2 linked regions of the Arabidopsis thaliana genome follow. The protein of the gene in region 1 interacts with the protein of each later gene in a pairwise test. Each region holds a gene or a part of one and is shown on either strand. Other genes may lie near its edges.

The links.
Region 2: the proteins of AT5G64850 (region 1) and EXO70A1 interact in a two-hybrid assay, tested with the Arabidopsis thaliana proteins (one large-scale study listed by BioGRID).

Annotation. Positions count from the first base shown.
Region 1 is NC_003076.8:25,919,651-25,923,982, reverse strand, and holds AT5G64850 (sorbin/SH3 domain protein), read right to left. Parts: upstream 2,582-4,332; 5' UTR 2,399-2,581; coding exon 2,381-2,398; intron 2,118-2,380; coding exon 1,839-2,117; intron 993-1,838; coding exon 945-992; 3' UTR 565-944; downstream 1-564. Other genes in the region: ABCF5 (general control non-repressible 5), read left to right, coding at 4,290-4,332.
Region 2 is NC_003076.8:887,825-894,847, forward strand, and holds EXO70A1 (exocyst subunit exo70 family protein A1), read left to right. Parts: upstream 1-1,741; 5' UTR 1,742-1,781; coding exon 1,782-1,940; intron 1,941-2,063; coding exon 2,064-2,159; exon of another isoform or gene 2,160-2,279; coding exon 2,280-2,485; intron 2,486-2,692; coding exon 2,693-2,770; intron 2,771-2,865; coding exon 2,866-3,096; intron 3,097-3,681; coding exon 3,682-3,820; intron 3,821-3,897; coding exon 3,898-4,110; intron 4,111-4,721; coding exon 4,722-4,927; intron 4,928-5,045; coding exon 5,046-5,246; intron 5,247-5,347; coding exon 5,348-5,447; intron 5,448-5,536; coding exon 5,537-5,637; intron 5,638-5,729; coding exon 5,730-5,876; intron 5,877-5,974; coding exon 5,975-6,092; 3' UTR 6,093-6,343; downstream 6,344-7,023. UniProt on the Arabidopsis thaliana protein: Component of the exocyst complex involved in the docking of exocytic vesicles with fusion sites on the plasma membrane during regulated or polarized secretion. Involved in polarized cell growth and organ morphogenesis.

The sequences.
Region 1 (4,332 bases):
CTCCTTCGCCGTCCTCGTCAGAATCCACCGCCGAGATCGTTGATCGAGTGAAATTATGGGAGACTTTGAGACATGAAATCGATCTGGATTGACTTAAGATGTATTCACAACAGAGGATGGAGATAATTCACGAAAAGATATGCTTTCTCTGCTCCGATCAATCTTACGGATGAAGTCAATCTTACGGTTTACTTCATAGTTCTAGAAGAGAACTAGAGAAAGAAAAAGATGAATTTTGTTATTTCTGGATTAGGGTTTCGAAGAACAAGAGAGAATGGGTGTATTTATAAGTAACGTTTGTTTGATGAAAAAAGGAAATTTCGATTGTTTCCTTTTCTTATTTGAGTTGCAAAAACTAAAAGGAAATCTATCACAACGGTAACAAAAGATTCACTTAACCGTCTTACTTTTTATAAAATCATAATTATATACAACACCAATAAATAAACAACTACTGTTTGATATTGCATATATCCATTATAAATTCCACCACCATAACTTCGTATGGATTAAGGCTTTTTTTTTCCTGCCAATTGGTTGTAATCCATATCTCTACAACTTCGAGAGGATGATTTTATTAAACGTAACTTCATTGTTATATATGCAAACATGATATTTGAATACTTTTCGAGTAAACACCATTCATTTTTTTTTCATTAATCTAAAAACGCATTATCGTAATGTATCACAAATCTGCCCTACATTACACAATAATGAAAATTATCAGTGTCTAAATACACCAAACAAAAATTACAAAAAATATATATTACTACACTTGACATTTAGCAAACATAGTTAGATACACAGTAAACAACAACAGACAAATTTTAATTGTGATGCAGCCGAAGAAACACATGTGGAAAACAAGGTGGCACTACCATTTCTCATTTCTGTCTTCAAATATCACCCCTTGTTGTTATTATCATAAATAAAAGTAAACACCTTTAAGCTTTAACGCAACAGTTGAAGCAGCTGAAGATTCTTCTCCTCCTCTGTTCCAAAGTCATTTACAAACAAGATTAAGTATGTTTTATCCAAAAAAAAGAACAACATTATTTATGTCACTTCACATGGTAGGTACAAAATAAAGGATTATGCTTTACTCAGATTGAAAGAAAGAATCCATTATAATAACTTTGTAGGGTAATGTACTACTATAAGTTTACTCTGTTTTAAAATATAGTTTTACATATTCTTTTCAATATTTTATCATCAATATAAAACATACTCTATGCATTCATGTGATTCCTTAACCATATGATCACAATCATATCCAATCAAGATCCAAATCCAACTTAAACTCAAAATCTGAAGTTGTGAAGTTTGGTGGGGTATATAAAATTAATTTCATGTGTAGTCATAAACAGCAATAAGCAACCAACTTGACCAAACATTGAAGGACCACATTTTACCCAATTGCTAGAAGAATCCATATAATGCTTACAATATTAGATTCTCAAACCTAACCAACCCAAGAAGGTCCACATCAAATGAACAATTCACAAACATTATCATCCTATTCATCAAGAAAATATGAATCTTACAATGGATATTCAAAGTGTTAACATGTAAATGCAATCAAAAACATAAGTTTCAAAAGTTTGGTATTGGTATGAGCATGAACAACGAACTAGGGTAAACAATGTGTGACCCAAACAAAATCTACCCATTTTGCCAGAAATAAACCATATAAGGCTAAAAAGTTGGATTTCATATCCTAACCAAGTCAAAACACCTACCTACCGGTTTCAATGAACGCAGGAGCTAATACAAATTCATATACAATGGACTGACATTCAAAACAATGAATCTTTAAGATAGAGCAACAAGAATCTTACAGAAGGAGAGTGTGGGTGATGGTGAGAGAACTCATTGCGGTTGTTGTTGTCACTGTGAACCGTAGTTAGCTTCTTAGGCTTGGCAGTATCAACAGGAGGCTGATCATGAAAAGGGTTAATGAGTTCTTCCTCGTTGCCAAGACTGGCTCGAGAAGCATCTCTCTTGTTGAGTTTCCTCATCTCTCTGATCTTTGAGAAATCCATTGAGTAATCAATTGATCCTCCTTTTTGATCCCAATCTCCAAACTGTGGTACTGATAGCCATGGCGAGTTCTTGTTCTGCCAAATAAATCTCCATTTCAATTACTTTTATTTTCAAGAACCATTAGAAAGAAAAAAACACAATCCTAAAAATCAATCACACAAAAAAAGACTTTTTCACCAAGATTCAGAGACTAATTTCTCACATCAAAATCGAATATTAATGCAAGAAGTTGACATGAACATCCCATTTTATTTAATGTATCACTTTAACTTTAATATTATGTAAGGAGAAAACACAGAAGACGAAGGGATTAGACCAGAAAATAAAAAATAAAAACCTCTTTTCGATCTTCCATGTGATCAAAGCTTCTGTAGCTAGCAGTGAATCCTGTTTTTTTTTTTTATAATAAGTTAAAGATGATCTTAGGAGGAAGATGGGTGATACAGAGCAATTTATAAGCGAAAGAAAAAGTATACCAAAATTTAATACAGCAAAGTAACAGGTCGATTGGTGGTGATACAACTATACTGTACACAACATATCAAAAATATTTTTGTTTTATTTTGTTTTTTTCTGCTTCGGGAAAAGGTTAGCTTTTGTGCATTAATTACGATACTGCCATTCGTTCGGACACGCACACACGCTTAATCCGCGTCAGCTTTGCTCTCATTTCCTGTTAAATGACGTCGTTTAGTATACTGTCGATTAATGGTCTAACCTTTAAGTTATGATATTAAAACATAAGTTTATTGGTGAAGATTTGAAGGCCGGCAACTGATTTTATTAAATTTATAGTGATATGTTTTTCCAATAGCTTAAGCAAAATTTGTTTGGAGTTGATTAGTTCATTTTCATTTATCTTTTTTGTTCCTAGAGCGGTTAGTGAACACTGAATGAATACACACACTGACTCCACTAAGAACCCAAAAAAAAAAACTCACATCATTTTGTGTATTTTGTTAGATAAAATCAAACCTAGCCGACGTTAGTGAATCTGTATCCACTTAAATATCATCTACAGCAACAAAAAAGTCCACAATAAGATATAAATAAGTACGACTTTGCTTCGTCAACTGTATGACTGCTATTAACAATCCCGAACTATTTAGTCATGGAGGCGATTAACATAAATTCATGTTTAATGATGCGAGCCGTTACATGATATATATACATGTTGATTCTTAATTTTCATTTCCAATTTCACTATTTCAGTCATATTTGAGAAAAAAGATGTGTGCTCGTACGTTTTAAGTTCCATGAACAGCCAATTTAAAATTAACGGGTGAATAAGTTGACGCATATTCATTTAAAATTGTAATTACGAATTCAACTTACTAAAACCATATACATAACGACCAAAAACTTAATAAAACTATAAATTTAAAAAGAAATCAAGTTGCGTGACGATGTGGCGTGAAGAGATCCACAGAGAAACTGACGTGGTTGATGATATAGTTAGACACGTGGCAGAGTATGAGAAGTGTCTGTTTTTCAAAGGAGCTATGTGAACCACAAAAGAGGTAACTTCACCGGATTTGTTATCTCTTCAAGACTTCTACCCTCTCTTCTCCTTCTTCCTCACCACAAAATTAGATTCTTTCGTTTGTTTTTTGTGTGTGTTATATTTGTCTTTATTTCATATCCATTTATTGACTTTGTAAGAACATTGCATTGCATGTGGCAGAGAACTCAAAGTTAGTAAAAATGAATACTCCGATTTGTATCACTTCTTTCCTTTGGCATTATATCAAAATATGGTCTTCAAAAACTAGAATTATACAATCGTAGAATGCATTTACTTGTCATTCATAGAAAGTTGCAATACAACTACCATTAGTACTTACAAACATTGCAACCAAATACATTTTTTATTGTAAAATAGTACTCCATACATATTTCATGCTCCATACATATTTCGATTTTTCACTATTTTCATTCCAATTTTTTGTGATAACTGAAGATAATTTTATTGGGTTTTTCTTTTTTGGTCGTCAATAATATTAATTTATTTTCTAAGTATTGATTTTATTTATTGATAATTGATAATGATATATTTTCGAATATAGAGAAAAAAATACAAACTAATAAAAAAATCAAATAAAATCTGGTGGCTCACGCTCAAAACGATAGAGAGAAACTCTTATCAAAGCTTTTGATTTCTCTCTCGAGGGTTTCTTACTCTGCTGCTTCTTCTTCTTCTTCAGTAGAGCGAGATTCTCTCGCGCTCTCTATCGCTACATATAACCATGGGTTTATCAACGAATCTCCATAGCCTCGACCTCCGTTCAA
Region 2 (7,023 bases), about 25 Mb from region 1:
ACTTTCATGAATTTTGTTTTTTATATCTATAAAACAATTTATGATATGTCACTAGCTTACTATACATATTTTTTTAGTCATTAACATCATTTCTCATTGCTTTAGGCTATATTGTATTCTCTACAATATAAATTGAAATAAGGAAAAAAAAAACTTACAATGACTAAATTTTAGTCACCAATGGAACTAATTATTTTGTAAGAAGGTTGAAAACTACTTTTTTTTTTTTCTAGAAGAGTCGGCGAACAGTGATGGTTAAATGAATTATGGGAGCCATGTTTGGCCTTCGTCTGCTGTCAGCCAAGCCCCTGCGAAACCCCACCCCTGGCCTGTGCAAAAGTTTACGCGCGCATTCTGAGAACGTGCTTTCCACGCTCCGATTAAGACGTCACTAAGAGTCAAAGCACTTTGATTTTCTCTTCTTTTCTCACAAAACACTTTCTTTTTTTATATACAGTATGATTTTTTTTTTTGTCGTCATTTTTTTTTATTTATTTATTTAATATGCCTCTTATGGTAAAACATATTTCAAGAAGGTTTATGTTTCTATAAACTAAAAGTTATCAACGGCAGATGAATAAATATGGAACTAATTTTCTCTCTAAATATCCAAAAATATGAGAATGTTGTCCATGGTTTTGGGAACAGAATGAGTGACGGAAAAGCCATGAAAAGAAAAGGTATCTTAGGAATATCATCTTCCTTTTGCTCGCCTAACCTTTTTTTATTGTTCTTCTCTTTTTGAATTTAAAATATTTTTCTGCTCTCTAGTAAACATTTAAACCATCGTAATAAATTGAGAATAAAGTGTGTGTATGTTTGTGTGTGTGAATGTTCGGTGTGATTTCAATTTATTGGAGGATAGAACTGTTGTGTCGAAATTGACACACCAAGGTGCCAAGTTGAGTACAAAATAAAGATCCTCTAGAGGCTACATCTTCGTCTAACAATCCTCATAAGTCTTCTTCTTCTTCTTTTTTTTTTAGTTTTCAACACACTAATGTCAAGTGTTTTGTTCATTTCTTTTTAGTTATAATATGTCTCTTGAGAAAATGTTGATATTTAGTTTGTTGTTGAGCCATTTATTTTCTGAGACAAATTTGGTCGTTAATGGATAATATTCTTAGAGATAGATCTACAGTACTGTGACTTTTGTGTAAAAACAAATTTGTAGCCGTATTTAATGGGCTATTTCGTATTTGGACAATAGCCTTTTATTTTGTGGGCCATGATATGTCAACACTGCTCAATGCTTATAAATGTTGTCGACATTTAACGAACGATATAACACCAAAAACTTCGAGTTTGTAAAGAAAAATTATGAGAGGATTACATTATGGTTAGCATATCTGACTATAATAAATTGAAAAATTACATTACTGGTTGATGGAAAGACAAATTTTTATTGAAGTGTACTTATTTCTTTAATTTTATTGGAATATAATATTCGATATGTGTTATTATGGTTAGCGTCTGCATATATTAATTTACGATTACATTATTGGTTAATGGAAATACAAAATTTTATTGAACCTTAATTATTTCTATAATTCTGTTATAAAAATATTTAAAACAGAGGTCAATATTTTTAAGAGAATGTTCAACAATCTGGTTAAGTAAGGGGAAAGAAAAAGCTTAGCTGGCTTTGAACCGGCTCGGCATTCCTCTGTCACCCACCAAACCAAACCGAGTCATCCTTCGTCGTCTCTCTTTCTTTTTCTTCAACTTCCATTTTTCGAAAGGCGACGAGAAAAAGTATTTCTCCAGTTTTGGAATTCGCCATGGCTGTTGATAGCAGAATGGATCTGCTAAGCGAAAGAGCTGTGTTGATGAGAGCATCTCTTCAAAAGAGTCAAACCATCACCGATAATGTTGTTTCTATCCTCGGCTCCTTCGATAGTCGTCTGTCTGCTCTTGAAACCGCCATGCGTCCTACTCAGGTGTGGTTTAGAGTGCTCCGATCATCTTCTCTGATTGTTTTCTAATCCAGATCTGGTATTATAGCTCTATGGAGTTTTGCTGACTTGATCGGATTTTGGTTTGACTGTGTTTTGAAATCTCAGATTAGGACTCATGCTATAAGGAAAGCTCATGAGAATATTGATAGGACTCTTAAGGCTGCTGAAGTTATTTTGTCTCAATTCGATCTCCTCCGTCAGGTTTGTTTTACAAATCTTGCTTCTGATTTTACTAACATGGATCGGTATAAATAGATAGAATTGATAATGATCTACATTGAGAATAGATAGTCTTTGATTATGCTCTCAATTCAATTCTAGGCAGAGACTAAAGTACTCAAGGGGCCACATGAGGACCTGGAAAGTTATCTGGATGCAATTGCTCAACTCAGAAAGATTATTCGTTATTTTATGAGCAACAAAAGCTTTAAGAGTAGTGATGGAGTTCTCAACCACGCAAATAGTTTGCTTGCTAAAGCACAGTCAAAGCTGGAGGAAGAGTTTAAGCAGTTGCTAGCTTCTTACAGGTTTGTGCTTCTGCGCCTGATAAGAGTTTAAGAAGCTACATGATTTCAAACTTGATGCTCTTGCTATAACTATGACTCATACCTTGTAACTTCAGGGAACAAAGCTATTGTGGATTTTTAGCTACTTTTTCTAGTTAGTATTTTTTTGGGAACTGGTCTTCGCTCTATGATGGTCTTACTTCTTTAGTTATCTTTCAAATAACCTAGAATACTTAGAATGACCTTTTATCTAAATTATCGGAGTTGTCACCTGACAAAGATTTTTTTTTGTGAAATCAAACACTTGTCAATATACAAGTTTCCTATGATACGAGTGTTCCAGACAACTGGTTTTAGATGGAAGAATGCTAAGGCCAACTCTTTTTTTTTGTTATAATCAGTAAAGCGGTGGAGCCTGATCGCCTATTTGATGGCCTTCCCAACTCACTGAGACCATCCTCAGACGGGGATGGAGGTGGAAAACCCCACGGAGGACATCACAATGATGACGCGGAAACTGCTGCTTATACACTTCCAATCCTCATTCCGTCACGGGTGTTGCCACTTTTGCATGACTTGGCACAGCAAATGGTTCAGGCTGGTCACCAACAACAGTTGCTACAAATTTATAGGTGAACTATTGATTCTTGGTCATTCATCCTGTATGTCGTACAGTTCATTTTCAAATCAGGCTCTTAGCTTAAATTTTCAACTAATAATTGTAGCATGAGTCAAAGTACTGAGTCAAGGTATAGTTTCTTTGAACGATTGCGGGTATACAATTAACTTACATATAATTCTCACCAGTCACCGCTCATTTACAAAGTAGTTTTTCCATGGTTTCTGCAAGTTGTGAGTTTATATTTGACTATCCTTCTGCTGTTTCACTAGTAAAGCTAAAGAGAAATGTTTTTGAAATATGAATTTCTATTGACACTCATCAAATAGTTTGGCTGTGATGTGCACATCGTGTACTCCGCTGTTTGTGCTTACCTGATCTGAAAACATTATTGCTAGATGCAATTCTGTTTGTCTCATATGTGTAATGCATTGGAGAAGCTTTGTCTTTTTTCTTCTATATGAACTACTAGTATTGTCAGATATAAGCAGCGAATTGCATAATCTACTGGCATTTTCCCAATGCATATTTAAGATGCATTTGTGTTTTTGAATTTGTTATTAATCTCCTTCTGTTCAACCTGTTGTGTTTTGTTCAGGGACACACGTTCCTTTGTCTTGGAAGAAAGCTTAAAGAAATTGGGAGTTGAAAAACTTAGCAAAGAGGATGTCCAGAGGATGCAGTGGGAAGTTTTGGAGGCCAAAATTGGAAATTGGATCCATTTCATGCGCATTGCTGTAAGAACTCTAGTTAAGGATGGAAATAACTTTAACATGTTTTGTTCACTTTTAACTCAAGATATTTTGTTCAACAGGTTAAATTACTCTTTGCTGGAGAAAGACAAGTATGTGACCAGATATTCCGAGGCTTCGATTCTCTAAGTGATCAGTGTTTTGCAGAAGTTACAGTGAGCAGTGTCTCAATGCTACTTAGCTTTGGGGATGCTATAGCCAGGAGCAAGAGATCTCCAGAAAAGTTGTTTGTACTCTTAGACATGTATGAGATAATGCGGGAGCTTCATACAGAGGTAATAATCTTCTCATTAATATCATTAAGTCGCCATACATTTACTGAAGAGTCTTCTGTTAAATGGAAAAATTATTCTTTAGTTTCAGCTTTTGGTGGATTTTTTCTGATCTTTAAGAATGTCAGTTTTCAGTATCATGAACTTTGGTACATACTTGATTCACCTTCAAACCTGTATTCATTTGTATAAGCTAGTGAGGTGAAATGTTATAGAATATAGGATGCTGCAAACGTCTAGTTTTATTGACACTGACACACATAACGATTTACCATATTAAGACGTAAAACTTCAGTTTGCATACGCATAGAGTTCACCACTTACTTCTTAGAGATGTCAAACCTAGCTGCTTTGTTTACTTGAGGAGTAATATATGGAAAGTGATTGTCTTTAATGTTTTTCTTCCCATGTGGAGTTTCTATCAATCAGATATGTTTTTGACCAACTGAAATCCCCACCATAATAAACAGCATGGCACACAGAGAAAAAACTTTGTGATACATATGTAGTGGAAGTTTGCTATCTAGGACGACATAAAGTGTGAATTTTCTTATGACCAGTTTATGGTATAAGATTAGATGGTACAATCTCATGAAATTTGTGTCCATGGACAGATTGAGACAATTTTCAAAGGGAAAGCATGCCTCGAAATTAGAGATTCTGCGACGGGCTTGACAAAGCGGTTGGCGCAAACTGCTCAGGAAACATTTGGTGATTTTGAAGAAGCTGTTGAGAAAGATGCTACAAAGACTGCTGTTCTAGATGGAACTGTCCACCCACTAACAAGCTATGTCATCAATTATGTCAAGTTTTTATTCGAGTAAGTACATCATATATACTCAACTTATTTCCTCGAACTATTTGCGTATTGTTCTTCTCCATACTGCTATTTGCGTATTGTCCCTTTCCACGCTTTAATTGATGATCATTGGTGTCAGCTACCAAACAACATTGAAGCAACTTTTCTTGGAATTTGGAAATGGAGATGACTCAAATTCGCAGCTAGCATCCGTAACGATGCGGATAATGCAGGCGCTTCAAAACAACTTGGACGGAAAATCGAAACAGTACAAAGATCCTGCATTGACACACTTGTTCCTGATGAACAACATTCATTACATGGTCAGATCTGTGCGCAGGTATATTATTTTTCTCGTTTAAACTTTAAAGGCTGATCTGGTTTTATTAAAAAAATAAAAGAACGCACTCATTTAGCTTTATTCATATGATAATTTTTCAGGTCAGAAGCCAAGGATTTGTTAGGCGATGATTGGGTTCAAAGACATAGGCGTATCGTGCAGCAACATGCAAACCAATACAAAAGAGTTGCCTGGACAAAGGTTCTGTCTATTTGTCTAACTCTGTAAAGAAACACTATTATATAAAATTTCATTAAATTGTTACTAAGAAACTGTTACATATTTTGTAGATACTACAAAGCTCATCGGCGCAAGGTTTGACCTCATCTGGGGGAGGAAGTTTAGAGGGAGGAAACAGCAGTGGAGTTTCAAGAGGATTATTAAAAGAGAGGTAAGTCCTAAACATGTAAAATAAACACAGTAATTGGCAAATGTTTATATATTTGGTAATGATGATAAATCTGTAAAAAAAAAATGGAACAGGTTCAAGATGTTCAATATGCAGTTTGATGAGTTGCATCAGAGACAATCGCAATGGACAGTTCCAGACACAGAGTTAAGAGAGTCACTAAGACTTGCTGTTGCTGAAGTATTATTGCCTGCTTATAGATCATTCCTCAAACGCTTTGGGTAAAAATCTCCTTTCTCTCTTTACTGCGAAGGCTTTTCTAATATTTGATTGAAATGTAAAAAAACCTAAATGAGATTTTAACCTATGATCGATGCAGGCCTTTGGTTGAGAGTGGGAAGAATCCTCAGAAATACATAAAGTATACAGCTGAAGATCTTGAAAGATTGTTGGGTGAGTTGTTTGAAGGAAAGTCTATGAATGAACCACGCCGGTAAAAAAACAACTAAAAGATGATGAAAACTAATTGTGTAAGGTAAATTTCTATCAAACTCTTCTTTTTTTTGGCTTACCTTACATAACTAGGTTCGTTGCTATTGTATATGCAGTGTCAACTTTTCGTTTTTTGTATTCTACTATTCTTTGGTTGGAATGAGAATGTGTAAATTACTTGGAGACAGAGTTGTTTCCTTTTGTATACGTTAAACGTTTTGAAATAACCATGGCCTAATAAGTCTAATCTCAACTCACAAGGATATGAAATCTTTTTTCTTAGAATGAAATTAATCGGAAATCAAAATCCTAGGCGTAATTTATAAAAAAAAATATGCAGTGAAGGAGCTAAGTTATAAGTTGATATGATTGACAATTGCTTTGAGACGAGCTTTGGTACTAAAGATCGAGCCAATAATATTTGTCCGAACAGCTGAACTAAGCTTGGGGACAAGATTGTCATGCGGATCAATTCTGTTATTTTCTTAATGGATTTTAGGTGATTAATCAGTTGTTATTGAACAGAACAAGACAGATAGAGCTCTACCGACTTGCATACTTAAATGAAAGAAATATGATTTATTAGTAAAATAAAGAGTGATGAGATGGTTTTGTTGTTTTAAAACACACATGTTTGGTAATTGGCATATTCCTTTTAGAAGATCCAAATTCTCCCAACATCTTTACATGGACTTCCCCATTTCCATCATCTCCTTCCACTTTTTTCCCAAAATAATATAAAAAAATGATAATTTGAATCGATGTAATGAGTGTATTCAACCTCTTGTATAATTTGTCTCCATGACCAAAGACAAAGAGAGAAGCCATAAAAACCCTAACAACATCCATTGTTGAAACTCTCTTTGGCACAACACCAAACACACAAAATATGGCCATCCCCTAAAGAAACTGAAGCTCAAGAACCCTCTGAATCTA